Linked DNA regions of Nothobranchius furzeri. The protein of the gene in region 7 interacts with the protein of the main gene of each other region in a biochemical or structural test. Links are inferred from orthologs where the notes say so. Each region holds a gene or a part of one and is shown on either strand. Other genes may lie near its edges. The genes, in order: GRB2-associated-binding protein 1, itk, wasb, fgfr2, bag3, pdgfrb and plcg1.

Region 1 (4,269 bases), on a different chromosome or scaffold from region 7:
AACAAACTAAAAACTACTTCCAAAAACATTCAGCTTTGATATTAATGAGATTTTTGGGTTCATTGAGAACATGGTTGTTGTTCAATAATAAAATTATTCCTCAAAAATACAACTTGCCTAATAATTCTGCACTCCCTGCAGATTAGATCTGACTTTTTACAGATTAGAATTTGATGTTTATTATCTCACCTAAAATCTAGAAGAGATTTGTTGTCATGTTTAAAAAAACGTTTTGTTTCTGAATTAAGAAAAAAATGGCAAAAAAGTATGGATATTTTTTTTAATGAGATGCTGATGTTAGTGGAAAATTAATTAAAACAAACATAAAAAGATCTAAAAAATATTACGGGTACTTTTACTGTCATTCTGTTGTGGAAAACATTCAATGAAAACTCTGAAAAGCTGCTTAAACCTGCATTTTTTTATTATTGTGGGCCGATCTATGTTATTAAAATGATCAGAGCCACTACTGAGTAATGTGGTAACTTGAGGGGAACAGTGAAATAGTAAAGCTTTTGCTGTATGCTTCTTCATGTTGAATTCAAATGAAATATATACAAGAAATATTTAATAATAAGAATAATCATTGTATGTATATGTAACAGTGATGTTAGGGCTAAAAGGCAGAATATACGTTTTGTGTGTTTGTTTTTTCTCATTAAAGTGGAGCTTAACGTTGTCCCATATTTGAGTTGTCTCTGTCCCACGTGTGCCAAGTTGGGATCTGGTCACCCTTAGGTGTGATGCGAGCGCCTCTACTTGGAAGTCATTTGGCTCACGTGCCCGGTTATTTTTGGGCACTGGAGCAATGCAGGGTGTTCTCCAGAGGGTGGGCATTCCCCCAGAGTCACCCCCCGTTCGCCTCCTTGTCATTAGTTCTATTGTTTTGTCTTCCCATGTGGAGCAGCAGTCCACAAACCAGTCGGTATGGTAAGTGCGCAGCTCCAGAGATTCACGACTAAACCTGCGTCTGTTTTAAGGGCAGAACAGCAGAGGCGCTTGTGCATGAACGTTATGAGTTTGGTAATAAAAACGGTTCAGTGTGTGTGAGTGTAAAGCTCAGGGGAACGCTGATGAATGATGTGGAAGAAAAAAACATTATAGTTTATTTATGAAATGTAATCATTTAATAGTAATTATCACAGAGTGGTGGCTGTGGTAAATATTGGTATAATATTACAAAATGATGCCTGATATTTGTTGTATTGAAAACTTATTTTAACATACAATCGATCATCAAGGGGGTTTCGACAGTTCTCAGAAAAATTTAGTAAAAACATTGAAAAATGTCCGTTCTCATAACTCGGGATTTAGTTTTTTGCATCAGAAGACCTGAAAACTGGCGACGGTTACTGAAAGTTTTGTTTGAAAACCATTCCTCACACATGGGGGGGGGGGGGATTTTTTTCCTGTCTAACAGAATAGGGGGAGTGAGCAGGAAGGGGAGGAGCCAAAGAGAGGGAGGAGAGGAGAGAAGGAATGTCTGAGCTGAGGGATTGTGTTTGGTTATGGAGGGAGGAGTGATTCTGTTGGGAAATAAGTCTCTCAGGAGGAGGTGTGACTGCGTTAGTCAGCAGACGCGGAGCAGCTCTGGTGTGTGTGTGGATGAGCTCCTCCCAAACAGGATTCTTCTCAGCCAGGGAAACGTGTGTGAGGACAGAGCTGATCTGAGGTCCTGAGTTGTTTTGGGTTCTTCTGATTCAAACTCCTGCCGGCTGGAGTCTGGTGCGAGGTTCTGCTGGTTGAGTCTGTGGATTCAGACGGGATCTTCACCTGATCTGACTCCCGACCGGCTGTTGACAGGGTGACTGACTAACCAGAAACATCAGGATGAGCGGAGCGGCAGATGTGGTGTGTGAAGGATGGCTGAGGAAATCCCCACCAGAGAAGAAGCTACGGAGATACGTGAGTCCTCTCAGTTTCAAAAACTCATCTATTTCTTTATTTCTAACTAGATTAAACACACTCCACCGGCACTGGACTGGTGTTGATGGATGCTCATCTGAGTATTTTTTCTTAACTTTAATCATCATCGGTGTGCTGTCACCGTGGACGTGAGTCATTTCCTAAAGCCATGACTGTAAAACAATAAACACGTCCAGCAGAGAGCAGCCGCTGAGCTGAGACCCAGAAACGTTCTCATCTAACTTTTGTCTGCTGATAATAAACCAAACTGTTAAATCTGGATCCACAGCACCAGGTTTCCATTTCCTACTGTAAATCTTTAACAGTTAACTCAACGGTTAGTGGAAACGACACAAAGTTCATTCTGCATCTTTAAATTCAAATCTCCAACACCTGATGCCAGAGAGCTGGATCGGACACACACACACACACACACACACACACACACACACCACATTTCTGACATGCCTTCCCCGTGACTTGACCTAATCTCATCTCTCCTCCATATTTCCTCCCGTTTGCAGGGAGAAGCAGAACAATGTCTGCGGTCTACTCTTCCATCACTCTTTCTCTTTCATTTGTTGTACTCTCTCTTCCTCTCCTTTGGTCACATGCCTTCCTTTCTCTGTTTGTACGGAAAGTAAAGGAGGACTAAATCAGAGCAAGAGGGATCTATTTTTAGTAGCGTTGCTGTTTGAAACCTTCAGTTCAGAGAAAACGAGCTCAGATATGGGACATCCCAGCATGCTTCTAACGAATCAGCTGGTTTCAGAGATGTTTGCAGGAAAAGGTTTTTAGGAGGGAACCACTGGACAGGACAGGCGGTCAGCAGGGGAAACCAAAGAGGAAGACATCATAAAAAAGATTTAGTCCTCGCATGTACAATCTAGCACACACACACACACACACAGCTATGTTTCCATTGTCAACACCATAAAACCAGACTCGAGCGGCCCTAAAGGCTGCAGCAGCCTCCACGTGTTCCTGTAAAGAATGTGGATGAAGTTCCTGCTGCAGCCTACCTCCTCTTAACCTCCCTGCTCTGTCGAAAGCAGTGTGTGTGTGTGTGTGTGTGTAGGAGAAAGTGCGTTCGGGTGTGAGAGAGTGTGTGTTGCGTAATAAACTAATCGCTCTCAGCTGGGCCTGCCTGGAAGCTTTTAGGGCATCTGGAAACGCGGAGAGAGCGTAAACGTGACGTCGCTGACGTCAGCGGGTGTACGCGTCACAGATGCGTTTATGACAGTCTGACGGGAGGGAAGCTGACCTGAAACTTGTTTTCAAATGTAAACAAGTCTGATTTCACATTGTTGAGTTTTATTCTTCATCCTGTGATGGAACCATTAAAAGTTCTCCATGACTTTCGGGATCGATAAATGAGTGAGCCACAGCCACCCTCTGAGAGTCTGATGGCGACGTCACGTCTGAGGTTTCATGGACTCGGCTCTAAAGTTGGTGAGAGAGAATCGACATGTAGAGGGTTCATCTAAATAAGGAGATGTTTCTTTTGGGGGTAATTTTAGTTTGGAGGCAGGAAAAGGGAAGAGATATTTTAACTCTATTGTAGCTGCTTCCGGCTGAGGTCAAAGGTCAAAGGAGCAAACATCAGGAAACCAGAGGAGATCGCTGCAGGAAAATAACTTATCTCTATTATTACTAATATGTCGCCTTCACATGATTAAATCAAAAATAGAACACTTCTTCACAGAATAATTTTTAAAAAGCGCTTTTTAAACTTTTTTTATTCTCTGGTTCAGTTTAGTGGTTAGAAATAAAGTTTTATGTGGTTTGCTGATGTTGCTCGGATCAAAACTCATCTGTCATCAAACCTCTCCAGTCTCAACAGTGTTTTTATTTTTTAACCAAATTACTATTTTTTATGCATGAATATTAAAGTCAGACATGTTCATGGAAACAGGCGGAGAAAGCACGGAGAACGCTAATATTTGATCCTGTTGATTAGAATCAGGATCTACTTAAAACATCACCCTTGTTATTCCTAACATCTCAGGGAGGGTGGGGGGTTGTGGGGTGGGGGGGTAACGCCTTATGTTTATGTTTATTTATTTGGCCGACGCTTTTATCCAAAGCGACTTACAATGTATAACCTATAGGGCATGTTGTGATCTGTGGGGGAAACCGGAGTACCCGGAGGAAACCCACGCATGCATGGGGAGAACACCCAACTCCACACAGAAAGGCCACAGCCGAGTTTCGAACCTGCAACCTTCGTGCTGCGAGGCAACAGTGCTAACCACTGCGCCACCATGCAGCCCTGATTATTTCATTTCATTTATTTATTTAAGGACCGTGCACATTAATATACGTTACTGTAAATGTGCCAGTGTTAGCCAGCAGGCTAATTTT
Region 2 (4,193 bases), on a different chromosome or scaffold from region 7:
TTGAAGCACCAGCAGAATTTTCTTAGAAGTTATATGGAACTCTGTGGTAAGATATTGGTAGATGGAGATGTAGTCGAAAGAAATACTCAACAAGACAGATTATCACGTGCAATTTTATCCGAAAAAAAAGCAACTAGCTGAAGAAAACATGAACAGATGTTCAGATTTGATTCTGATCTTGTAAAATTTAAATTTACTAGCCCCAACAGCATCACAGGAATTTCTTATAATGAACAGAAACACAACAGAACCACCAGGACAGGTGCCACGCCCCTTTTAGCAGAAGAAACCAACAAAAACAAGGCGCTTTGTCCTCATTTGCAACTATATGTGAAAATAATTGCAAAATTTTGTCTCGTGCCGCTATTTTCAATTTTTTGCTATTTGTGTGTGCGTGACTTGATCAGGTCATTGAACTTTGGTGCAGTGTGTTACTTTATGTTGCTATCTGCAAAGCCATGCTATTCACATATATATATATATATATATATATATATATATATATATATATATATTTGGTCCATCTTTGGTGAAAACACACGTTTGACAATTAGAAGAAAGACAACAAATACTAACCACAGCTCGCTGGGTCGTATAACTGACAACCCGCTGCCAGCTTCTCGTGCTGTTGGCAGCATCGCCACTTTCCATCCATCCAGAAGTTTGGGTGAAATTTTGGAACCAACTCATTGTGCTTCGTCTCTAGGTTGAAGAAATCAAACATCTGTTTTATGCATTTGGTTGAGACGAAGTAATGAAGAGTTTACTTGCAAAAACCCCCCAGATGAACCGATTTTCACAAATGTTCGTAGAATGCATCTTTTACTTGAAGCGATATCAGTGAAACTAACGTTTGGTGATTTTGATCGCTGGTGGCTCTCGTCTGCTTTTGCAGATGGACTCTTCAAATATTAACAGATTCGTGACATGGGTTGGTGGTAATCTGATGGTGCATTCACATAAGAATTACCCTCTTTCAGTGCTCTGACCCATCTCTGACGACAATCATTGTCCGGAGCAAATATGTAGAGGTAATGGTTGTCATGGAAAACCTGCAGGGACATCAGACTTCTGTTAAAATACAGAGTGACCTGTTTCCTTTGGTTCATTTCACAGCTTTTGTGCATCCTTTCATTGAATTTGGGTGTGCTTTTCTGCTTCTGATGTTTTGCTTTTATGCACAGAACTTCGGAATATCCATCGGTTGCATTAATAAAGGTGCTTCATATAATAAAGTCAACACTCGAATTTATTTTGTTTTTTATTCACCCTTTACTCAGAAGAAATGCCATGTTCTTCTTCTTATGACAATGAAATGACCTTGTGACCCTAAAGGATAATAATGATGTTCACCTGAAACGGGTACTTGTAGCTGCAAGGTATGGGAATGTCACTGCACACAATCTCCACACACCTAATCCTGGACAGTTGAATGCAACCTTTCAACATGGGCTTTTTCTGCACACATTAACACGCTCTGTGTCACATAGATTCAACGCCATAGAAAATGTGACTTTAAGAAAACCACATTTCAATACAAAATCGTGTGGACTTACCCCCGGACGGCACTCCGAATACTTCAGATCCTGAGTGTCCAACACAAAAAACCTCTCTTTGTAGTTATTTGGTGATGTTCTTTTCTTTTGCTGGGATTTTTTGATCATGGTTCCCCTCAAAATCACCCTGGGGAACATTGTCAAGAAGAACGCAGCGAGCGTCTGCGAATGGTTTTGTCACAAGCAGAGCCTCGCAGAGTCAGAAGAAGAAAAGGCAAAGTTGTGGATGATAAACTTCGTAGATGCTGTGGAGCTTCCGGCGTGAAGCTGCGGCAGGCAGTAAACCACATCCTTGTGGCAACAAATGATTTGCGCAAGCAGAAATACACACTGTTTGATGCACAAACACTGTAGATGTCTACCCTGCACATGTACTTTCACTAATGTTATAGAGAATTAACAAGTTAAGCCCAAAGCAGGACTGTGAATGCAGAAATCCAGGTTTTGGTAGTACTTTTTTAAACAATTGGGAAGATAAAATGAGTAACAAAACACAAAACATCACTGAAAAAAGTTAAGATAAAGAAATATCTCTCTTTCTCTAAATGTGTCTTTGCATTTAGGGGTTACACGTCAAAATATTGTTATTTTTCAGAGAAGTTTAGACTGTTTACAGTGAATGCAGTCCATTAAATTCTTGATTAAAGTAAAGAGTAAAAACTACTTAAGCCACATAAAAATTTACAAAACTCATCTAGGTGACAAGGAGTAAATAAATAAACGTGAGCAAACCGGTTCGGAACATTAGGAATTAAAATGCTGCTCACTATCTTTTCACAAGAGAATAATAGAATTCAGTTTGTCATTATCAACCCAATTTCTTTTTAATATCGATATCAACCCTTTTACACCGTTCTGTTTGTGGCAGGTGTTTCACATACATAAGAAATCACAATCATCTTTTTTTATTATTATTATTTTAGGATAAAATTCATAGATTTCTGCAGATTCTGAAAGAGGACAAACAGATCACAACATGCCCTATAGGTCATAAATTGTAAGTCGCTTTGGATAAAAGCGTCTGCTAAATAAACATAAAGAACAAACAATAACTGACATAGTTTGTAAAATGAGAACCCGAAGGAATTAATATACAGGTTATTGTTTTTATGTCTTTAAAATTAGTATTTTCATTCAAAAATATTCAACAGTTATCTGAATATTTTAGTAACTTTTCTTTTTCATGTATAAAATCAGTTCAGTTTGGGCATCAAACGGTACTTTTTCCATCGATCCTCTGAAGAACAAAGTAAAAGAAAAACAAATTTTTCCGTGCTTCCGGATATTTCTACCAATCAGCGTTGAGCTCTTTCTGTGACCGCACCCCAATCAGCGTTAGGAAAACAATCACGAGGACAGTTCAGCCAATAGAAATCAAACAGAAACGACTGGTCTTTTCTGCATTTATCGAAGAAGCTATGTTAGCCCTGATCTAATTTTCCAACGATATTTGATTAACGTTATTATTAGAAGTATATGTTGTGTTTCTAAAGGATTGTTCTTAAGGTGGGTATGAATACATTTACTCCCTTCTCATTTACCTTTTATGTAGTTCGCTTCATTTTTGACGTGCCCAATTAACTACCGGGATTAGCGGTGGCTATAGTTAGCTAGGTTTCTGTACAAAATGCAGCGGTGACGCTAACGTAGTTCTGCTTGTAGTGTTTGTCAATAACACATTGAGTCCGTAACAAAATAAAGGTAACACAGAAGACAAAGGTTCAATGGTTAGGTGCGTGCTAGGAGTTGAATTTGACTACTTAAATACCTAAGAACAACGTTTCAGCCAGATATTAAACCTATAATTATTAACTATGGCTAATAAAGCCTAATTTTACTTCAAACTAGATTGCAAATGTTTTACGCCAAAATGAGCAGTAGTGTGTATACTATAATTTACGTGTCATTTTAAGTTCATATCTACTTTTCCTACCAACAACAGCAGTAGGTGCAACTTAAAAACCCATCAGAATCTAGTTTTGCTTTGAATGTTTTGTGCTGGACTGGTGCTGCAACACATTAGTTTAGATTTTAGACTAACACTTTACTGGAAGTGTATGCTGATTATTGAATTTGCCCCTCCAGCCTAATGATAGAATCCTGCAGTTATTGGGAGAATGACGTTTGTCGAATTTTTAAATATATTTTATGTACAAGGATTTTGAGAATCTTTTATCGAAACTCTCAAAAAGTAAATCAAACAATAATAAATTCTTAATAAAAACATTTTATTTGTTACTGCAGTTTACATTTAACAGTATTTATTTGTACAAATGAGGGGCATTCAGGCTTTTACTACAATCTGTTATGTGTAATAGTGTATATCTTTTGATGCAGAGCTCTACACGATATGCTGTTACCTAATAAGTTATTGTGCTCATTAGGTAGCTGTAATGTATTGTGTAGTAGTAGTAATCAGCTGATAATGTCATGTTTTTCAGCTTAGCCATCAGCCACAGCTGGTTCTACATGAATGTGGAGCCGAGTTTTAATCTGAAGATGGAGATATAACTATGGTTTTGGGCTGAAATATTAAATTTAGAATAAGTTGCACTAAACTGCCACACTGATAATTGCACATGTCTACAGCACTATTAGACACTCATCTGTACAGGTTATCAGCTAAAAAAAAGTTCA
Region 3 (4,015 bases), about 19 Mb from region 7:
CGTGCTCTCTGTTGGCAGGCTATGTGTTTTGCTGCATTAGGGTTCATCTTCATGATCTTGAGCCTGTCGTTTATCATCATCGGCTGGGTCACGGGAAAGTCTCGGAGCGGCGGTGGACACTAGCTAGCAGCTACAAGCCAAGACTGACCAGAGGAACTCCAAACAGCACGTCAACCAAAACTCACCCTGCAAACAAACCCCACCGGTCAGCCGAGTTCTCATCCGGGGTTTGGTGATTTACGACGAAGGACAACAGTGAAGAGCCTCGCCCAAAGGAAGAGCTTTCCTGATGGGTGCTGTGCGTTGACTGAATGCACCGCTCAGAGCAAGGATGCTGGTGGGGCCGTGAAGCAGGAGGACAAACGAGAACCAAAGCAGAAGTCCGGTTTCAGGAGCCGGGTGGAAAAACGGAGCCACTATCATTTACTTCCATAATACGTCATATAAGTTTTTGTTCATTAACTTTTACTAAACAAACATTCATTATAGGTTGTTCATTCTGTTAGTTTTTTATGTACAAGATTCTGGTAAGATGTTGCTCGGGTAACAACGAGGAGCTGATGGTCGGCATCGCCACGGAGGAACTTTATTTCACCTAAAGACAACTTTCTGTGTGATGAAACTCATTTAATGTGTTTTTATGTCTCCTGACGACTGACAGGCGGCTCTGTACAAGGTCATGATTTAGGTACCGATGCAACCCGGTGCAATATGTAGGAGATTATGCTGCTGTTGTCGACGGTCAGTCAGAGGGTTACTGATAGTTGTGTGACTCTGAAAGGTGGTTCACACAAGTGAAAAACTGTTTTCTGTTCGTCTCCAACCCACAAACCAAAGAGTATTTAACTGTTACGTTAAGAGAGAGAATGCATTGTTTTCCTGTCACATTCAGCTGTTCGATCAGTTAAATTCAACACCCAGACTGTTTCATCATTTCCTGCATTTACAATTCAGTTGCTTTTAATTGTTTTTATTGTACGACTGGACCAAACACCTTTGTTCCAGAGCCTGCGCGTTTTAAAAATGTATTTAAATGTTGTTTGTCAATAAAAAAAAGTCTCTTCTTTGTACTTCCTGTACATCTGATGCTGATTATTTATGCATGTAAACTCTGAGCTGGAGGGAAGCAGCAGTGCCCTGCCTCTGTCTGAACATGGAAGTGACACGTTCACGTCAGAGTGAGAGAAGACAAGTGGGGGTTAGAGAAGTGTGGCTGTCTGCTTCCTGCTTCGAGCTGATGCTCGCTCAGAACAGAGAAGAGAAACTTCCTGGATCGTAGAGAATATTCCGACCGCTGTCCTCTTCGTTTTAGACTTTTGATGCCGTTACATGTTGGTTTGTGAGAGGCGTCATGAGTCGTGGAGCTAAGAGTAAAACAGAGAGCGATCGAAGCTCTTTGCTGAGCCAACAGGAGAATGACATGTTGGAGGAGCTGCTGGGCAGAAGGTGTGCTGTAAGTTCTGAACCGGGAGGAAATAACCCACCGTTCAATTTATTATTCATCACTTCTGCTGCTAAACAAAACTAACGCATTCCGATTGCCTGCCTATATGTTAGATTTCCTCCTCTTTGAGCCGCTAAAACGTCACATGCTGAAGAGGCAGGCGTTAGCTGAGGCCTGTCTCCTAAAACATCATCCTTTTGAGTTGGGAACTGAAAGATCCTTTCTGTAAGCAGCTGTGAGTGATGTTAAGTTATTTGCTGTTGGGTCACCATGACGGAGGCAGCTGTAACAGGAAATGCTGGCTGGCTGGATTCTTCCTCTCCTGTCAGATGTAGACGCCATGGCTGGTTTGGTCTGACAGCAGAGCAGAAGTTTAGTTTTTGACTTCATTCGTCCGTAGGAGTAAGCTGGCAGAGCCGTGAGACATCAGACGTGTGTCAGGTGTAATCCGGAGAAGACAGAGAGCCTTTTGAGCTCTTATCACAAAAATGAGAGCAGAGGAGGAAGTTATCCACCAGCAACGAGCAAATTTACATGTCAACTGGGTGTGTGTGTGTGTGTGTGCGTGCGTGTGCGTGTGTGTGTGTGCGTGTGTGTGTTTAGTCCACAGCCACCGCTGTAGCACAGCTGTTCATGGCTCTGCCACACAGCCCGTCCACATGGAGCCTGCAGCACACCGGAGTGGTCTGCTTCGTCAAAGACAACCCTCAGCGCTCCTACTTCATCCGGATGTTCGATTTGAAGGTCAAATAAAGAATCTATGAGCTCATCCTCTCTAGGTTTTGTGACTGACGTCTCCGTTGGAGAAGCTGTGACTCAGATGTGACGGGAGTTAGTGAGGGGCAGACGCGCTGACCAGGCACTTTTTTCCACAGGCAGGGAAACGGGTTTGGGAGCAGGAGCTGTACGACCAGATGGCTTACTTCACGCCTCTGCAATACTTTCACACCTTTCCTGCAGATGTAAGCGCGCACTAATCACACAAGGCAATAACTGTGTCAGTATGAAATTGTGAGTGTGTGTTTGGGTGAGTTAACAGGACTGCCAGGTGGGCCTGAACTTCACGGACCAACAGGAGGCAGACGCCTTCCAGCATGCTGTCGTGGAGAAAATCAACCAGCGGAACAGCCGGATGGGTCAGCACGCTCCTGCTCCTCTCACTACAGAGCTTTAACCCTCCGGAGGCAGGCGTTGCAGATTAGCAACGTTAAAACCTACCGACCTGGTTTCTCCACATACGTGTTTCATGAGCATGTTTTAACTCAGGAGCACCCCTGAAGGACTTAGTTGTTCGTCCTTTTATCATAACTTACTTTGAGCCTGAGAGGGTTAAGCAGACGTTTAGAAGGACACGCTTCCATGTTTATATTTAGAACAGGTTTGGGTTATGGGCTCGGCTGTAGCACCCTACATCAATAGTAGTCAACGGGGGCGGATCTTCAGGGGGGAACATTGTTGTAAAGCCTTGCCTTCCTCTGCTGCCTCCCTACTTCTATGTCCTAAACGGTGTATTCACATCTGGGTCGGCCCGGTCCATCCCTGGCAGGGTAATTGTGTTCACATCGGGGTAATCTGTGTGTTTTCTGTGCTCAGCCGACCATTTTTTCCAGATCTCATCTCCAGCGGACAGCTTGGCACTGACAACACATCCACTTCGGACCGACTGGGTGGCCAAAGTTCATGTCTGCCTACAGAGAAAGCCTTTGATTGGCAAGCAGAATCAGCCAGTGCTGGCTTCCTGCATACATGATTCATAATCATTCTGGATGCAGTGGAGTAAACATCTCCTCCGACTGCAGCTCACACCTGCCGTGGGAGCACAAAGCCAGACAGCTGTGAGGAGCGCGTGGCGGTCTCAGTGAGACAGTAGGAAGCTGTGTGCTTCATGTCAGAGTCTCTCAAAGCAACGCAACTCTCAGCCACCTTTGTTTACTAATTGAAAAAAGGACACCGTGGACTTCTCCATGCATCTTTTGCCCCGCCTACATGCTCGGAGACGTCTACGTTCCTGAGAAGGCTGTGCAAACAAAACCTGGCCATGGTGGGATGGGCCAACCCAGCCAGGACCCAACCGGGCTGGGCCAGATGTGAAAATGCCACGAGTGATGGCAGAATCAGTCCAGCAGGGGCGGATTAAGAACTGAAGAACATCCGGGGCTTAACACACGCACACACGCGCGCGAACACACGCGCGCGCGCGCACACACACACACACACACACACACACACACACACACACACACACACACACACACACACACACACACGCACACACACACACACAAGTGACACGCACTAGTCAACATCATATATATTTGTCTTGTACCACATCATTTTTAATCTGAAGCTACATATTAAGCATTTTCAGGGCAGAGTATTGTTCCTGTTAGTGTTTAGTGTGAGATGATAGTAAATATTACCTTTCTTTCTCCAACAACTTTACCTGATAAGCTAACTTTAGGCAAACCAGCAGCACAACAAATATTTTCTAATAAGACTCACAAACCTGAGTCAGCACCAGTCTCATCAAAGCTGGGGTTCTGTCGCCGTACTTTTGGTCTAAAACGTCCT
Region 4 (3,500 bases), on a different chromosome or scaffold from region 7:
AATGAATCCGCTCCATGGGGCCAATTTTAAAGCAACAAACTGCTTCATTTTTCTACATTTTAGAAAATAATTCATATATTTTTATCATATCTGAAAATATAAAATTAAATCTAATTAATTTGAGTTAAATCTGAAACATCTCAAAGTTCAAAGGAACTTTGAGATGTTTGTGAGGGCACCTCTGCACCCTGCTGTTACCTTGGGAGGTTACTTATGGTTTAAATCAGTCCAAACGTGTAAATCACATTAATATTTAGTTTAAAAGTGACACATCTATATTTAGATCTCATGTTTGAATTAAACTTTATGTGTTTAAACTTGTTCCAGGCATTTTTTATTAACATATTTAGATATATGCCTAATTATTTAACACACATTTTGGGATTTGTGTTTAAATATTTATACATAAATTTGAAGTTTCTTAAATCAAAAGGATGAAAAGGTGACCAAGAGCTAAATATGACAAAACACAGCTTTAAAGCAGCGGTAAAAGCCACATGTGCATCTGCAGCAATGTGCTTATTCTACTTTTTGTTTATATTTAAAGTTTTATTTTATATAAAAAACACATTTTAAACTATTCCAGTAATGCAGATGAATTGCATCAATGAGAAAATGAAGTAAATGTTTAACTTAAAATGCATTAAATATATTTTTTATGATTTTTAAATGTATTTGGTGTGAACTACAGCTACATACTTTAAAGAGCAAGTCACCCACGACCAGATTCTTACTCAACTCCCACTTCCTGTTTGAAAAATGCAACAAATGCTGTGGCCTAGCAGACCGAGAGGGCGGAGTCACTAACAAATACACACACTCACGACATTGTGACATCATAATCTACCATCTAACATCATAGTTTACCTCTTAGCCAATAGCGATGGCAGATTTAAATTCAAGTACAGTGCAGAATTTTTCCCTGACGACGGTACATCGCAGACAGTTTTAGGCAGAATGTTTAAATTTGAACTAAAATGCCGAATTATTGAATACATTTGTCTACAGCACGATCAGACACTCATTTATATAGTTTATCAGCAAAAACATGTTGATTTGGAGTGACTTGCTCTTTAAATGAAGTAAAAACTAAAGTCACTGTGTGTGTGTGTGTGTGTGTGTGTGTGTGTGTGTGTTTTCCTCTGGAGGTGTTAGATGCCTTTAGAACTCTTTATCTACTTTCTGTTACCTGGCGGCGCAGAGGAATCTGTTTGGTGAGTTTGTGGACCGTCGGTTGCCCCCCAAAGTCGGGCTTCTTTGTGGTGTTTCTCATGCGACACACCACCACGATGGCCACCATGCAGGTGATGAGGAAGACGCCGGCGCAGTAAATGGCAATTTCCACATAATCTGGAGAAATGGGCTCTATGGATTTGTCAGGCGCTAGAAAAAACGACAGAAGGGTTAGTGATCAGAGAAAAAGAAAGGAGACGGTCGCACATGTGCTTCATTTGAACCGAGGCACAAGAATAAGGCAAACACAGAGACACGTGCTTTGGAGATGACTCGTGTGCAAACGTAATCACTGTCGGAAGAATAACAAACAGAAGCGTTTTCTTTATTTGCCAAAGTTATCAGCATGCATGACAGATCTGAAATCATGACTCCGCTACAACAACCAGGCTGGTACGCAGCTGAATAAATGAGGATCGCTGTAAACATGGACGTAATTTTGGGGGGGGACAGGGGGGACATGTCCCCCTCACTTTTTCCAAAGTCAAGTTTTGATCCCTGCACTTTTTACCATCCAAAAACAATATTACGCTATATTAAATTGACACTGGTTGAGCTCAAGGACCAAGTGGAAAACAACCGTTTGTGTTGAAGCCTGTTTCCCATTAGAGCATACTGTAAAGGTACCACCCCCCCCTCCATGTCCCCCCCACTTCTAAAGTGAAAATTACGTCCATGGCTGTAAAGACACTGACAGTGACTCGACGCTACCTGCTGGGTTCCTAATATGGGAAACTTTTTTCTGATTGGCCTAATGAACTGAAATGTTTACTGTGTGAGGTGCCTTGAGACGGCGCTTGTCGTGATTTGGCGCTTTATAAATAAACTTGAATTAATAAAGAGACGCGTGAGCTCACAAACACCCTCAAAGACATCTGAGCATTTTAAAGCTTTCCAGTGTCTACTGTGGTTTTATATGGACTGAACTTCCTGTCAGCGAAATGGGCCGAGCTTGGATGAGTGCATGCTGCAGAAAAACCGTTCCATAAATGCAGAGCCATCCAGACGACAAACAATTCAGAGCCAAGCCATGAGCCGTCGGGCAGCTGCACGTAGGAGACTGTGTTTTTATAATTGTGTTTTAAAACCACAACACATGGACAGATCTGCCTCAAAAGCACCACCAGTACAAAAAGAGCACTTTATGGGCAGAACATATTCAATAAAACTCCTACCAGAAATGGCCGAATACCAGTTTGGTCTGTTGAGTGAGGACTGTCAACTAATCTCTTAAATGCTCGCTGGACTCATGACTTTTGTCTATTTGACCCTTTGGTATTTCCTGTCCCGATATAAGGCGACAGACTGAACCAATGGATGAATGTCACATTCACAAGCATGAGTCGTCGTGTCGAAGCGGAGAGGTTTGGCTCTGATAATTGAGAAAGTTAAGCCAACATGAAGCGAGTGTTGAGCTACATCTTTCTAAATTTACATGAAAATGAAGAAGATCCTAAAAGGAGCCAATTATCAGAGCCAGGAAATGGGAAAGGAGACAACTGGAGGCACGAGTTTACAAACAATCTGAGCCAAAGTTTGGCACTGATAAAAGTATCCCAAAGCAGTCGGAAGGATGGGAATAAAGAGAAGGCAATTCCTCTGCTGCTGTTGGAATCCGGAGTTGCAATCCGACGAGTTGACAACAAAATACACAAACATCTTTTCGGAGTTTTCAACAGTTCGCCAAGTCACTGCATAATCAACCAATACTTGAGTCGTGCAAACTGGATTCCAAGGGGAGGATTTGCCTTGCATGAAGGTCATTCAACATGCAACTACTTGAGACAAAAACAAGAAAGAGAACAAAGGGGCACCATACGAGTTCTTATACCTGGAAGCACCGTCAAAGTAGCAGTGTGATAGGAGATCCCAATAGAATTACCCGCCAAGCATGTATACTCCCCAGCATCCTCAAATGTTACATTGGGCAAGTAGAGAACTTCTATCTCCTTATCTGTGGTGTTAACTCCTGCGGTCTGGAAGAGGAGGAGAAAAAGGAGGAAGAAGAGAGGTGCAAACGTAAAAGAAGAAGGTGAAGTCAGAAGATGAGAGCAGAGAATAGAAAGAAAATAAATTAGACCCACAACACCAGAAAAGGTTTCTAAGGAGCTGGATAGTGTCCATTCTTGTGGTCCCATCTAGAGGAATGATGCTGGGAGTGACGAGGGGGAGAAGACAAAGCCCAAAACACCGTAACATAAGGAAAACATAAACAATACAGCAAAAGCAAACAATACCCATCACCATTGGAACCTGCTTACAGAAAC
Region 5 (4,102 bases), on a different chromosome or scaffold from region 7:
ACTTTCCCCTTTATATAACGTATAGGTGATTTCCAAGTGAGACTCTTAAAGAGATTGACTCGTTGTTCTTGAGCTTAAAGAGACAATGTGTAGTTTTTAATCATTCATTTCTGGAAATATCCATCAAAATGTCGTTAAATTAATGGAATGATGCCCAGTTGTTGAAAATGATTGACGGCTTTGTATAATAACCATAAAAATCAGGTCTAAAATACATGGGAGTGGGTCTAAGTCTCTGGGTGACTCCATATTAGATGTCAAGTTTCCTTCTAAGGGAGCCCGTGAGGACAAATTGCATTTACTGATTTGTAACAAACAGTTACAAAACTTTTGTCATTCTTAAATGTTGTTTTACACATTTACCTCTTCACTTGTTGCCACTGATTAAAGGGAGTCTGATGTGCTTGTCATTTTACTAAAGTTTGCACTCCCCAGGGCTTTTTGACCCTAATGAGCATCTGTCGCTTTCCGCAGCCGCTCGCTTCCGAACTCAATTTTTACTGGTACCCGCTCTACAACGGCTCCGCTCCGGTGCAGAGACCTGAGGTGCGCAAACAGGCATGCGCTGGATTTTCGAGATCTTGCGATACAGTCCGAGCAATAAATGCTCGTTGGAAGTTAGATCCAAACACCCGTTGTGTGGGGGAAGCATCGAAATGAACTGTTTAATCTGCCCATCATTTGTGTTGAGAGATCAGCAGTGTTTGGATCAACAAAGTGTGACTACTTTGATAGTAGAAACTGTATTTATGGCTTATGTTGTGCATTTAAAGTTCAACCGCCATTGATAGTTGTTAAAAGTTGTTAAACATGTGCATATGAAACAAAAAACGTTTTTTGTTTATCGATTTATTGTGAAATAACGGAAGTTGTGCTTGCTCCCTTTCCTGTTGGGCGATTGTGATTTCTGTCCTTTGACTGCGGAGGTGCTCCGGCGTCCGGCAAAAATAGAATCAATCCATTTTTGCCGGATGGCGGAACGGCTCACTGCGCCGCACGGCCGCAGTAGTGGAACAGCTCTGATTGACTACAACGGGACCGTTTTTGCTGCAGAGTTCGTGCCGGAGCGGAGATAGTGGAATTTTGGGGTTACTCAAACACAAAAATACTGCTTGCTTGCAACGATTTATGTATCTACTGCCCCCTATCGCCAGGAAAAATACACACCGTCTCTTTAATTGCAGTTGTTGCCTTCAAGAACAGTGGCGCCCCCAAGTGGTGGCCAGAGGGGGGCCTTGACCAATCCTGGAAAATTGCTGGCCACCTCAGAGCACTTCCACTCTCCAACCTCCTTTAATAAATCATATTTATGTTCAATATTTATGTTCACAAAACTATACATTAGTCTTCTTTAATAAAATGTAAAACCTTACAAATATAGAAATAAGTAAACAAATTAATATGTTGCTGCTGTGCACCATTTTCAAGAAGAAGTACAAATATCAATCTGTTTTGTAAAATGCATTCATTAAGACAGCGACAGATACATCCAGCTGTTCTAAACTACTAAAAAGTAAATGTTAAAGTATGAATAAATTAAATATTTGAAGTTTCTTATTTTCTCAAATATAACATTTCTGCTGCATATTTTTTAAGAATGGATGAGGATGCAGAGCACAGCTACAGGCTAAAAAACTCAAGAGTTACCAAGAGAACTAGTTTGATGTGCCACCCTTAAATTTTCCTTGGCCCCCCAATCTTGTCCCCCATGAAAATGTCCTGGTGCCGCCTCTGTCCAAGAGTGTTCAGAGTTATTGGTTAAGAGAACTTGAAGTCTTCATCTGAAAACTGCATTTTGTCTTTGCTGATCTGAAACATTTATGCGTGACAACAAAAAGAACAAAAGCAGAAGAAATCTGTAAAGGTGCAAATACTTTTTTTACATAAGCCTCAGAATGATCAAACACCAACACTGAAAGTGCCCCATGCAGCTGAGATAATAAAAAATAAATAAAATACAACTACAAGCAGGGCATTAATGTGTGAACTATTGATAATCCTCCAGCAAAAGTTGAGAAATAGCCGTGAACGACCCTTTGCCCTCTGCCTGGTCCAATGCACCAATTTTATCCCTCAACAGCTGTGTCTTTCTAGCAGATTCCTCAGGACACTAACTTTGGAAAACAGTGTCTGTCCCTATGAAGAAAGATTACCCAGCTGGCAGCCTGTGGAGCTCACGTCAGCCCACGGATTTGATTACAGACCTGTAGATTTCTACATTTCCACATCTAAACAACCAGATTCAATATCCTAAATGGAATGGGACCCAACTGCATTTTATTTTGTGGGTAAAAAAGTTTATAATGAGTTTTCCACCTAAATTAACGCTGGTATCAGAAAGCCTTGACACTCGGCAGTGAGTCATCGGGTAATAATAGTGTTAGATCATGACTCGGGAACATAACGGGGCTGATCACCCGTTTTATTAGGCTTATGAGCAGTCAGTGAGGGGGAGGCGACGGGACCTAACAAGGCCTACAGTCAACAAGATTAACACAAAACAGCCATGTAGCGTAGCGACTCCAGCAGCTTAACACAATCCGTAACCGACGCAGCACCCTACGGAAACCCGTTGAAACAACTTTATCCCGCCTCCGTTACCTTTTTGGTGTCGTGTCTCGGGTCATTCCAGGTTGTCGTCCGGTTGTTGTGATCCACGAAAAAGGGCCATCCAGTGTGAGGGTCGATTTTGACTTCCCATCCGAGGGGGAGCTGGTCGATGTCATTATCAGCCATCACAAGTGTCGGAGAGTGCGTCTTCACTGCGTTCATGGCGAGTACTGAGACATTTTTTATGGGCGGCGGTCCCTTTAAAGATTCCTGCGAGTGACGTAGGAAAGTGGGCTGGAAGTTTCTCGAAATAGCGGGGTTAATGTCGGGGGCGGCGGACCGCGCTGGAAGCAGCGGCATGGCGGCTACTTCTTGTGTCGCAGACACCCCCCAACAAAAGACACTACATTAATTTAGTTATAGTTGGTGTTTACAGAGAGCAGCTATTACCAGCTCTACTTTAATAACAACCCCAGAATCACGTAATAACCCTGAAACCTTCTCACTCACGCATGCGCAAATCTATTAGACCTGGGGTTTGAACAGCAGTTTTTCCCCTCAATCCAATTTGCTTAGAGATGCAACTGCTAAACCTGTTTATGCGTCTGCATCGGTGCGGAGACACAAAACGCCAGGAACTTGAAACAAATATGATTTATCGTTCTGATAAATATCTACGGAGGAGAATTAAGGCCACTGATAAAAAGTTATTTTCTCAGATTTCTTAGATTGTAAGAATTATGAGAAAGGGTAGAATATTGGCTCCTTTCTGAGATTAAAATTAGAAATATGTATGTCATCTAGTCTGTTATAAAATGTGTGTCATTTTTGTGAGGAAAAGAACCCCATCTTGTTTCTATTATCAAGTTTAAAAATTCGGAAAACCTTGTGAAAAATGAGTACCGATGCTTGTTTTGTTCGAGTCCAAATCGTGAAAACCTCGAAATACAAAACGAGCGTACCCATGTAATGGACTTCAAAATAAAAGCCTTTTACGTAAATTGCGTTGCTTTCGAAAAGCAAGAGGGAAATAAGTCATTATATTCTCTGAATCAACTGTTTTATTCAATTAATTTCTATTTACACACGGTGAATTCAACTTACAGAATAAAATTAAGCCATTTATAGCTTCGAACTAAAGGTTGACCCAGACCCTTTGGGTTGACCTTTCGGTGCTCATGCGCAGGCGCAGTTAGCACACTCAGCGTGACGTAAGAAACGTTGCCCGGTTAGCTTTCTAAGCTAGTTAGCTCGTTGTTTACAGCGTTTATCTCTCAGTCTACGTCCTTTAATTACCAAATAGTTTATATTTTTTCTACGACGTCACGTTCAGTGTTGGTCATGGACGACGAAAGTTACCCCAGAACCCTGTAAGTATTTTTAGTGTTTTCGTGGTAGCTAGCTTTCGTTTGGTTTCTCATACGCAGCGGCTAACTGAGCTACATGTCCAAAAAACAAGTGTAGACAACGTTCAATATTAAGTGTTAATTTACGTTTTTAATTAGTAGGCGTTCAAAAACACGTATATTTCGACGATTAAAAAAAACGTTAG
Region 6 (3,500 bases), on a different chromosome or scaffold from region 7:
TGCATGCACAAAAAATACCACAACTCTAAAGGAAAGCTTATCCTGCAACTCAATATAAATATTCTGATTATCTGATTGTTGCTGATGTCAGCTAAGATATCACTCAGATAAATAAATCAACATCTTTTTCTAATTTTATTTAAAATACATTAAAATTAACTATTTGTAGGTTGTCGTGTTGTTATGCCAACTTTAAGCTCACTGGCAGGTTTAGAATTACAGTTACTGGATGAAATAAGAAAGAAAACATACTGCAAATAACAAAAGTTTCATAAAACATTTATATAAAACCAGCAAATGTAGATGATTTTGTGACTATGGAACATATTTCAGAGCTGAAACAGAAGAAATGCCCTCACTAAAGCACATTCCCAGTTTGCTAAATGTTTTAATTTAAACACAGATGCACTACACGTGAGCAGTGGTTCATTCCTGCAGACGTGCACTGTTTGCATGTTTCTGACTAGAATAGAAAAACAGACATGCAAGAAATACTTAAAAGATTAAATAGAAAATGCTTTACAAAGGCTTGTTTTCTTCTCAGAACACGGTTTTGTGGACATGAAGCCCATGCAGCATCAGAGGATCTCAGCCAAGCTCCAGGAGAACGTGGAGCTGAGGGTGGACATCGAGGCCTACCCTCCTCCTCAGATTCTCTGGACCAAAGACGGCACCGCCATCAAGGGAGACACAGCCATCCTCTCCAGACAAGAGCATGAAATAAGGTGGAACAGCTCATCTAAATGCCTCCTTATATTTAAAGAATTATCAAAAACTTTGGACAGTCCAGGAGCCTCCAGAGGCGATCTGTCCGTCACCACCAGATGAGACCTCCACAGAGAGAAATCCAATCCTCTCCAGAGGGAAGGAAGCCATCTTTCAGCGCACAGGAACCATAAACACTAAATACCTATCACAACTCCCTAATGACCCTCAAACGCTCAACAAAGCCTGGGCTCTTGCCTTTTCAACCAAAACGATCGAATTAAATGGGATTTTAAAAGTTCATTGTTGAAAAGCCTCGAATCAATCAGTAAATCAGAAAAGTTCCTGTCCAACAGTTCTGCTTTTGGCTGAAATCGTCAGAAGATCATGTTTGATTATTGAGACGTGTTTGTCCTATTAATGGTGTTTTTCTTCTTTCTTTTTTCTTTTATTTTTTCTTTTATTTTTTCTAATTTTTACAAATTATTCATGTAGGTTAATCATTCATGTTAGAAATGATTGGAAAACAACATACCATATTTCAAATTTTTATCTAAACATTCCCATAAGAGACGTTTTTCCGTAGTCCCTGAGAGCCTCTCTGATGGAGGTTCTAACAAAACGTTGAACCTGTGGACATTTAGCTCCAGACAGAAGTTAATCTAATCAAACCCAAGAAACTCCTGAAAGATCGATGATTGTTTTTATTTTCCTGACAGCTTGTTCATTTGGCTTTTGCCTCAGGTATCTCACCATTCTCACCTTGGTGAGGGTGAGGGCGGAGCAGAAAGGCCTCTACGCTGTCCTCGTTACCAACGGAGACGACACGAAGCAGGTTGTCTTTGACTTGGAGGTCCAAGGTGTGAAAAAGTTCTCACAAACTCTAGAATGTTTAAATATTTGACACATTTTTGTTGTTTTTTTTCTCCACAAACATGTTTTTAAAGTAGCGTTTGAAGGCAAACTCAGTCATGATTAAAGCCTCCGCCTCCATGTTTGCAGTTCCAGCTCAGATTAAAGACCTGACAGACCACCACCTCCCAGGGCAGGGACACTTAGTGACCTGTGTAGCAGAGGGGTTTCCAGCTCCCATCATACAGTGGTACAGCTGTGACAGCATGCTGAAGTGAGTCACACACCCCCTGAGAACACAAGAGGGCTCCACTGCTGCTGCAGCTGTTCCCATCTCACCCGGTGTCCCGCTTCAGGTGCAACAACCAGTCTGCTGTGTGGCAGCCGCTGACCCCGCGACCGGAGGAGCTGAGCATCCAGACCAACGCCAGCTACAATGAGACTCATAAAATCATCCAGGTGCGCAGCAAGATGGTCTTCCTCAAGCCTCAGCACTTCACCGTTCGCTGTGAGACCACCAACCGAGCCGGACTGGTCAGCAGGAGGGATGTCAAACTGGTGTCCAGCAGTAAGTGCCACAAGATGTCAGACCTTTTATGTGTCATTTACACTTAGATAAGGAACACCTGAAGATTAGGAAATGCATTTTTATAATACGTTTATACATGTGTTTCTAAGCTGAATATTCAGCCCCTGGTGGCATTTTTAATTGACTCTTTGATGTTGGGCTAAAACTTTCCATCTTCAGATACGTTTTTGTCAGTAAAATCTGTCTATGTACAATATATATAAAGGCTATCATGTTTGTACCACAGATATCAGATCAGCTACGTTTTAAAGAAAATGTGTAATCTTGTGTTTACATTTGGTTAATAGTTTTTGACCCCCTTAATTGGTTAATTCTCCGTAAACCACAGACAGACGGATGCAGAGCTGACTGATGCACAAACATAAAGTTTTTCAAATGTAGTGATCTTTTCTGTCTCTGGTGTCTGTGGCAGCCTTGTTCTCCCAGGTGGCAGTGTTGGCTGCTGTTTTAGCCTTAGTGGTAATCATTATCTTGTCCATCATCATCCTCGTCGCCGTGTGGAGGAAGGTAAGACACTCCTCATCACATAAAAACAAACAGATCAAAATTATTCCTTCTTCCTCATGGCTCCTTGTTGTCCTCTTCACCCGTGCTAACAGAAACCACGCTATGAGATCCGATGGAAGGTGATTGAGTCCGTGAGTGTGGACGGACATGAGTACATCTACGTGGATCCCATCCACCTGCCCTACGACCTGGCCTGGGAGATGCCCAGAGACAACCTGGTCCTGGGTGAGTGTGATGTACCAGGAGTTGGAAAGACCTGTTTGTGTTTATTTTAATGTTAAGAAAACAGAAAATAAACAAATCACAAAGGCACAAAGTTAAAGAAAATGTTTAGTTGTTTTTTTTTTACATTTTAACCAAAAATAATGCTTAAACTTTATTTCCTACATGTGAAAAACTGATTCACGCCATTTTTAATTAAAAATAACTTTGTTTTAAATGATAATAGAAAGATACGATCTTTGAAAATGTTATAAAAACAGGATCTGTTTTTGCAAATGAACTCTTCATTTTTATAAAGTGGAAGGAAAATGACCATCCTCTGAATTCTTGTTGCTTTTACCCAGCTTCCACACTTGTTACAGCTGTGGTTTATTTAAAGAAAAGGCCTATTGATGCTGACTAATCTGATCATAGCTATGGCAGTTACAGGATATTTATGACCCATGATCAGCAGAAATAATCTCTTCTTAGAAGCTGCCTTTTTTATTTTTTTTATTATTCAATACAAAATGACCTTACAATTATTATTATTATTATTATTATTATTATTATTATTATTATTATTATTATTATTATTATTATTATTATTATTATTATTATTATTATACCGCAGTGTGCTCTACCA
Region 7 (3,016 bases):
TCAAACAAAATCTAGAAATTGAACCCTTTTACAGTTACTTCTCGCAATATAAAAACATTATTCATCATCTGAGCAAAGAGCTGAAAGGGAGCACCAAAACATCTCCTAGTGCACCATTTAGGTTTGAGTCTTGGACACGTAGGTCGGCTCGGGACAATGCAAATATTTAATCGCATTGCAGTGATGTAAAACCTCCATGACTGCAGCAAAAGTGTGGGGAAAATGCATAAAATTAATGTCAGTTCTGCAGAAATTCACAGGCTACAACAGCTAAATGTGTTGGTCTGATGGGTTATTTCCTAAACAATAATTGTGATTTAGACCCAGTCTAAACTGGGTTGTGGTCAGCGTGTCAGTGCGCCAAAACCAGTAACTACATATTTACTAAGGAGCTTAATTTTCATGTGTTATTGTTTATTCCTCTGTTTTCTCCTGAAGGTCCTGGGTGCACGTCACCTGCCGAAGCACGGCCGAGGCATCGTTAGTCCTCTCGTTGAGATAGAAATTTGTGGGACAGATTATGACAGTACCAAAGTAAAAACTAACTCAGAAGGTAAGACCAACTTGAATTTGAACTCTTCTGTGCTCCTAAAAAGCATTCCACTTTAAAACTGTACAAATATTTTTGTTTACTGAATTCATTACGCCTGTGTCACTTCCTAGCCGCTGCTGGAAAACAGGAAGTTGCACAAACAATTAGGAAGTCTGGGAAAACGAGGCAAAACATTTCTCAATGATGTAATTGTAGCTCATCAGGTTTTAGCTGGAAACAAAACCTTGTGGCTCTTTTGTTTATTTTAGTTCATGGTAGATTTTGTTTTGGCATCAAGCTCGCTGACGATCATCTTTGCTCTCCAGAAATGACGAAGCTTCTGCTCCTGTTCATGGTGTTGCCGATTAACTCGACTGTCTCCAGTAAATAGCCAGCCTTTCTTCTCTGATGCTCTTTGATCTTCAGCTTCGTTTCTCTCCAGGGTTTTTGTTTTTCCTGTTTTCTTGAGAGGTCGTCGCAGTGTTTGCTGCCACGTGCAACTTGGTTTCATAGGAATACTAGAATGTTAATAACATTGACGGGCAGAATATTTCACAAATCATCACATTTTCCCCAGAAACCTCCTGCCAGGTGTGACTGTAGTGAGAAAATCCACGTCTGTCTTCATTTTACAGCTGACTGATGTAACTTAGTCAGATGTATCTTTTGTAGTGTCTGGCACAAACCGCAGCAAGCCCAGATGAAGTGGGTCATTACAGATTCACGGTTTGTTTTTGGGTGTAATGTTCAAACAGAATGTGACTTTTTGTTGTTTGTTCTCTAGCTGATAATGGACTGAACCCTACATGGCAGACAAAGTTTGAATTCAGTTTATTAAACTCCGCCTTTGCGTTCCTGCGTTTTGTGGTCTATGAGATCGACATGTTCAGTGACCAAAACTTCCTGGCTCAGGCCTCGTTCCCCATTCAAGGCCTCAGGACAGGTACGTGTTAAAGCAACTCATACGTTTGCTTGTTTCTGGAAAAATAAATGCTTTCTTTAATGAGTTTGAACCTGTCTGTGTTTTGCCAGGGTACCGCTCCGTACCGCTGAAGAACAGCTACAGCGAGGATCTGGAGCTGGCTTCTCTGTTGGTCCATGTGGACATTAGCAAAACCAGGGTGGGTTACGACTCCAGACTGAGCGGAGCTGCTCTTCCACTGACGTGCAGTTATTAGCACTTTAAACGCACACACACAAACCCATCCAGTCTTTTTGAGCATGGTCACATTTCATCATCAACCCAGAAAGCGTTTCTGAAGGATGACACTAGTTTAGAACATGTGAGAAGTTTTCAGGCGTTAGAAACAAAGGAGTTAAAGCGGTCAGCCTCATTAATCACGTTGGGTTTCCTGTTCAGGGTGAAAATGGTGAACTCCTGAGCCCGCTGTTTGCTGCCAGTCCCACAGCAGTACCAGCCTCAGCCCAAGTAGGACGAGATCGTTTTGGGGAGCTGAGCTCTGTGTCCTCCTCTCCCTCCACCATGTCCCCTCTGCCTCAGTCACCCCCCCAGGCCTCAGCCTACAGAGTGATGGATGGCCCTTTGGACACCCGCTACCAGGCCTCCATAGATGACTTCAGGGTGAGCCAAGAGTCTCTGTTGGACCACATGGACCCACAGAACAGACGGTGAGTGTGGAGACTTTACGCTTGTCCAGTTATGGGGGTGTACAACATTCACGGCGTCCTCTTGTCTTTGTCCTCTCTTTAGGAACTTGCGGAGGACCAAAGTGGGCGTAGAGAACCGCGTCTAAGTCCAAGCCAATCAGGACTCGCCCCCCCACCCAATCCTTCCCTCACCCAGCAGCCTCTCCACGTACTGATGATGTCACTGACTGCTGTGATCACTGTTTCCATGGAAACGCACACCACTGCTTTGGCCTACATTCGAGGCAGCTCTTTTCCTCCCACCCCTCCCTCCCCTACTCTGATGAGACTGAGGGTCTTGGATACAGGAGGGGTGGGGGACAGAGAGGAAGCTAATGGCTGTAGACAGGAAGAAGAAACGGTGTGGACAGGAAAACAAAAGGCTCTGGGCCTGGACGGTGTCGACGGAGCTCTTGTTGTGTATAACAGCTGCTTATTAAGGAGGCTATGGGGAGAGAGCTCCAAAAGGTCTGTTAGAAACTGTTTCAAGTTTAGATTCGTCACTTTTTCTTTTTCTCTTTCCATCGCCGTGTCTGAATATATATATATATATTTATTCGTGCTGCTGTCCAGAGAGCGGCAGCAGCAGCTGATGAGCTCTCAAAGAGCTCCTCTCTCTGTGTTTCTAAATGTTCTAATTATTTAAAACTTAAAGCATTCATGATGTGACTTTGTGTAAAACATGAGGGCTCCCCATGATTTTTTAAACATCTCTGCTTCACGTGCCTCCAGTTTGTCACACCTTAAATCTACTTTTTTTTTTGTTTTTGTTGGGCATCAGGAAAATGTCACGACCTGTCTGTGTCAGAGCAGCCAGAGAGCAGGTGGTGTCGTGTT

What was found.
Region 1: the proteins of plcg1 (region 7) and GRB2-associated-binding protein 1 form a complex in vitro, tested with the Homo sapiens proteins (2 studies listed by BioGRID and IntAct, with this or other methods). The link is inferred for Nothobranchius furzeri from reciprocal best matches to the Homo sapiens genes PLCG1 and GAB1.
Region 2: the proteins of plcg1 (region 7) and itk form a complex in vitro, tested with the Homo sapiens proteins (2 studies listed by BioGRID, with this or other methods). The link is inferred for Nothobranchius furzeri from reciprocal best matches to the Homo sapiens genes PLCG1 and ITK.
Region 3: the proteins of plcg1 (region 7) and wasb form a complex in vitro, tested with the Homo sapiens proteins (2 studies listed by BioGRID). The link is inferred for Nothobranchius furzeri from reciprocal best matches to the Homo sapiens genes PLCG1 and WAS.
Region 4: the proteins of plcg1 (region 7) and fgfr2 form a complex in vitro, tested with the Homo sapiens proteins (2 studies listed by BioGRID and IntAct). The link is inferred for Nothobranchius furzeri from reciprocal best matches to the Homo sapiens genes PLCG1 and FGFR2.
Region 5: the proteins of plcg1 (region 7) and bag3 form a complex in vitro, tested with the Homo sapiens proteins (2 studies listed by BioGRID). The link is inferred for Nothobranchius furzeri from reciprocal best matches to the Homo sapiens genes PLCG1 and BAG3.
Region 6: the proteins of plcg1 (region 7) and pdgfrb form a complex in vitro, tested with the Homo sapiens proteins (3 studies listed by BioGRID and IntAct, with this or other methods). The link is inferred for Nothobranchius furzeri from reciprocal best matches to the Homo sapiens genes PLCG1 and PDGFRB.

Annotation. Positions count from the first base shown.
Region 1 is NC_091742.1:87,973,335-87,977,603, forward strand, and holds the start of GRB2-associated-binding protein 1, read left to right. Parts: upstream 1-1,469; 5' UTR 1,470-1,830; coding exon 1,831-1,905; intron 1,906-1,936; exon of another isoform or gene 1,937-3,336; coding exon of another isoform or gene 3,337-3,357; intron 3,358-4,269. UniProt on the Homo sapiens protein: Adapter protein that plays a role in intracellular signaling cascades triggered by activated receptor-type kinases. Plays a role in FGFR1 signaling. Probably involved in signaling by the epidermal growth factor receptor (EGFR) and the insulin receptor (INSR).
Region 2 is NC_091742.1:50,784,797-50,788,989, forward strand, and holds the start of itk (tyrosine-protein kinase ITK/TSK), read right to left. Parts: upstream 2,801-4,193; 5' UTR 1,695-2,800; coding exon 1,557-1,694; intron 1,459-1,556; coding exon 1,354-1,458; intron 1,053-1,353; coding exon 971-1,052; intron 703-970; coding exon 577-702; intron 1-576. UniProt on the Homo sapiens protein: Tyrosine kinase that plays an essential role in regulation of the adaptive immune response. Regulates the development, function and differentiation of conventional T-cells and nonconventional NKT-cells.
Region 3 is NC_091755.1:42,288,305-42,292,319, reverse strand, and holds the start of wasb (WASP actin nucleation promoting factor b), read left to right. Parts: upstream 1-1,215; 5' UTR 1,216-1,351; coding exon 1,352-1,453; intron 1,454-2,047; coding exon 2,048-2,188; intron 2,189-2,319; coding exon 2,320-2,406; intron 2,407-2,483; coding exon 2,484-2,580; intron 2,581-4,015. Other genes in the region: sodium-coupled neutral amino acid transporter 3, read left to right, coding at 19-123. UniProt on the Homo sapiens protein: Effector protein for Rho-type GTPases that regulates actin filament reorganization via its interaction with the Arp2/3 complex. Important for efficient actin polymerization. Possible regulator of lymphocyte and platelet function.
Region 4 is NC_091752.1:4,229,865-4,233,364, reverse strand, and holds part of fgfr2 (fibroblast growth factor receptor 2), read right to left. Parts: intron 3,210-3,500; coding exon 3,065-3,209; intron 1,384-3,064; coding exon 1,184-1,383; intron 1-1,183. UniProt on the Homo sapiens protein: Tyrosine-protein kinase that acts as a cell-surface receptor for fibroblast growth factors and plays an essential role in the regulation of cell proliferation, differentiation, migration and apoptosis, and in the regulation of embryonic development.
Region 5 is NC_091752.1:5,543,179-5,547,280, forward strand, and holds the start of bag3 (BAG family molecular chaperone regulator 3), read right to left. Parts: upstream 2,801-4,102; 5' UTR 2,773-2,800; coding exon 2,602-2,772; intron 1-2,601. Other genes in the region: tial1 (nucleolysin TIAR), read left to right, coding at 3,892-3,920. UniProt on the Homo sapiens protein: Co-chaperone and adapter protein that connects different classes of molecular chaperones including heat shock proteins 70 (HSP70s), e.g. HSPA1A/HSP70 or HSPA8/HSC70, and small heat shock proteins (sHSPs), e.g. HSPB8.
Region 6 is NC_091741.1:96,096,251-96,099,750, reverse strand, and holds part of pdgfrb (platelet-derived growth factor receptor beta), read left to right. Parts: intron 1-544; coding exon 545-725; intron 726-1,449; coding exon 1,450-1,565; intron 1,566-1,707; coding exon 1,708-1,831; intron 1,832-1,913; coding exon 1,914-2,125; intron 2,126-2,558; coding exon 2,559-2,653; intron 2,654-2,745; coding exon 2,746-2,878; intron 2,879-3,500. UniProt on the Homo sapiens protein: Tyrosine-protein kinase that acts as a cell-surface receptor for homodimeric PDGFB and PDGFD and for heterodimers formed by PDGFA and PDGFB, and plays an essential role in the regulation of embryonic development, cell proliferation, survival, differentiation, chemotaxis and migration.
Region 7 is NC_091755.1:60,800,503-60,803,518, forward strand, and holds the end of plcg1 (1-phosphatidylinositol 4,5-bisphosphate phosphodiesterase gamma-1), read left to right. Parts: intron 1-438; coding exon 439-553; intron 554-1,316; coding exon 1,317-1,475; intron 1,476-1,564; coding exon 1,565-1,653; intron 1,654-1,892; coding exon 1,893-2,161; intron 2,162-2,243; coding exon 2,244-2,286; 3' UTR 2,287-2,516; downstream 2,517-3,016. UniProt on the Homo sapiens protein: Mediates the production of the second messenger molecules diacylglycerol (DAG) and inositol 1,4,5-trisphosphate (IP3). Plays an important role in the regulation of intracellular signaling cascades.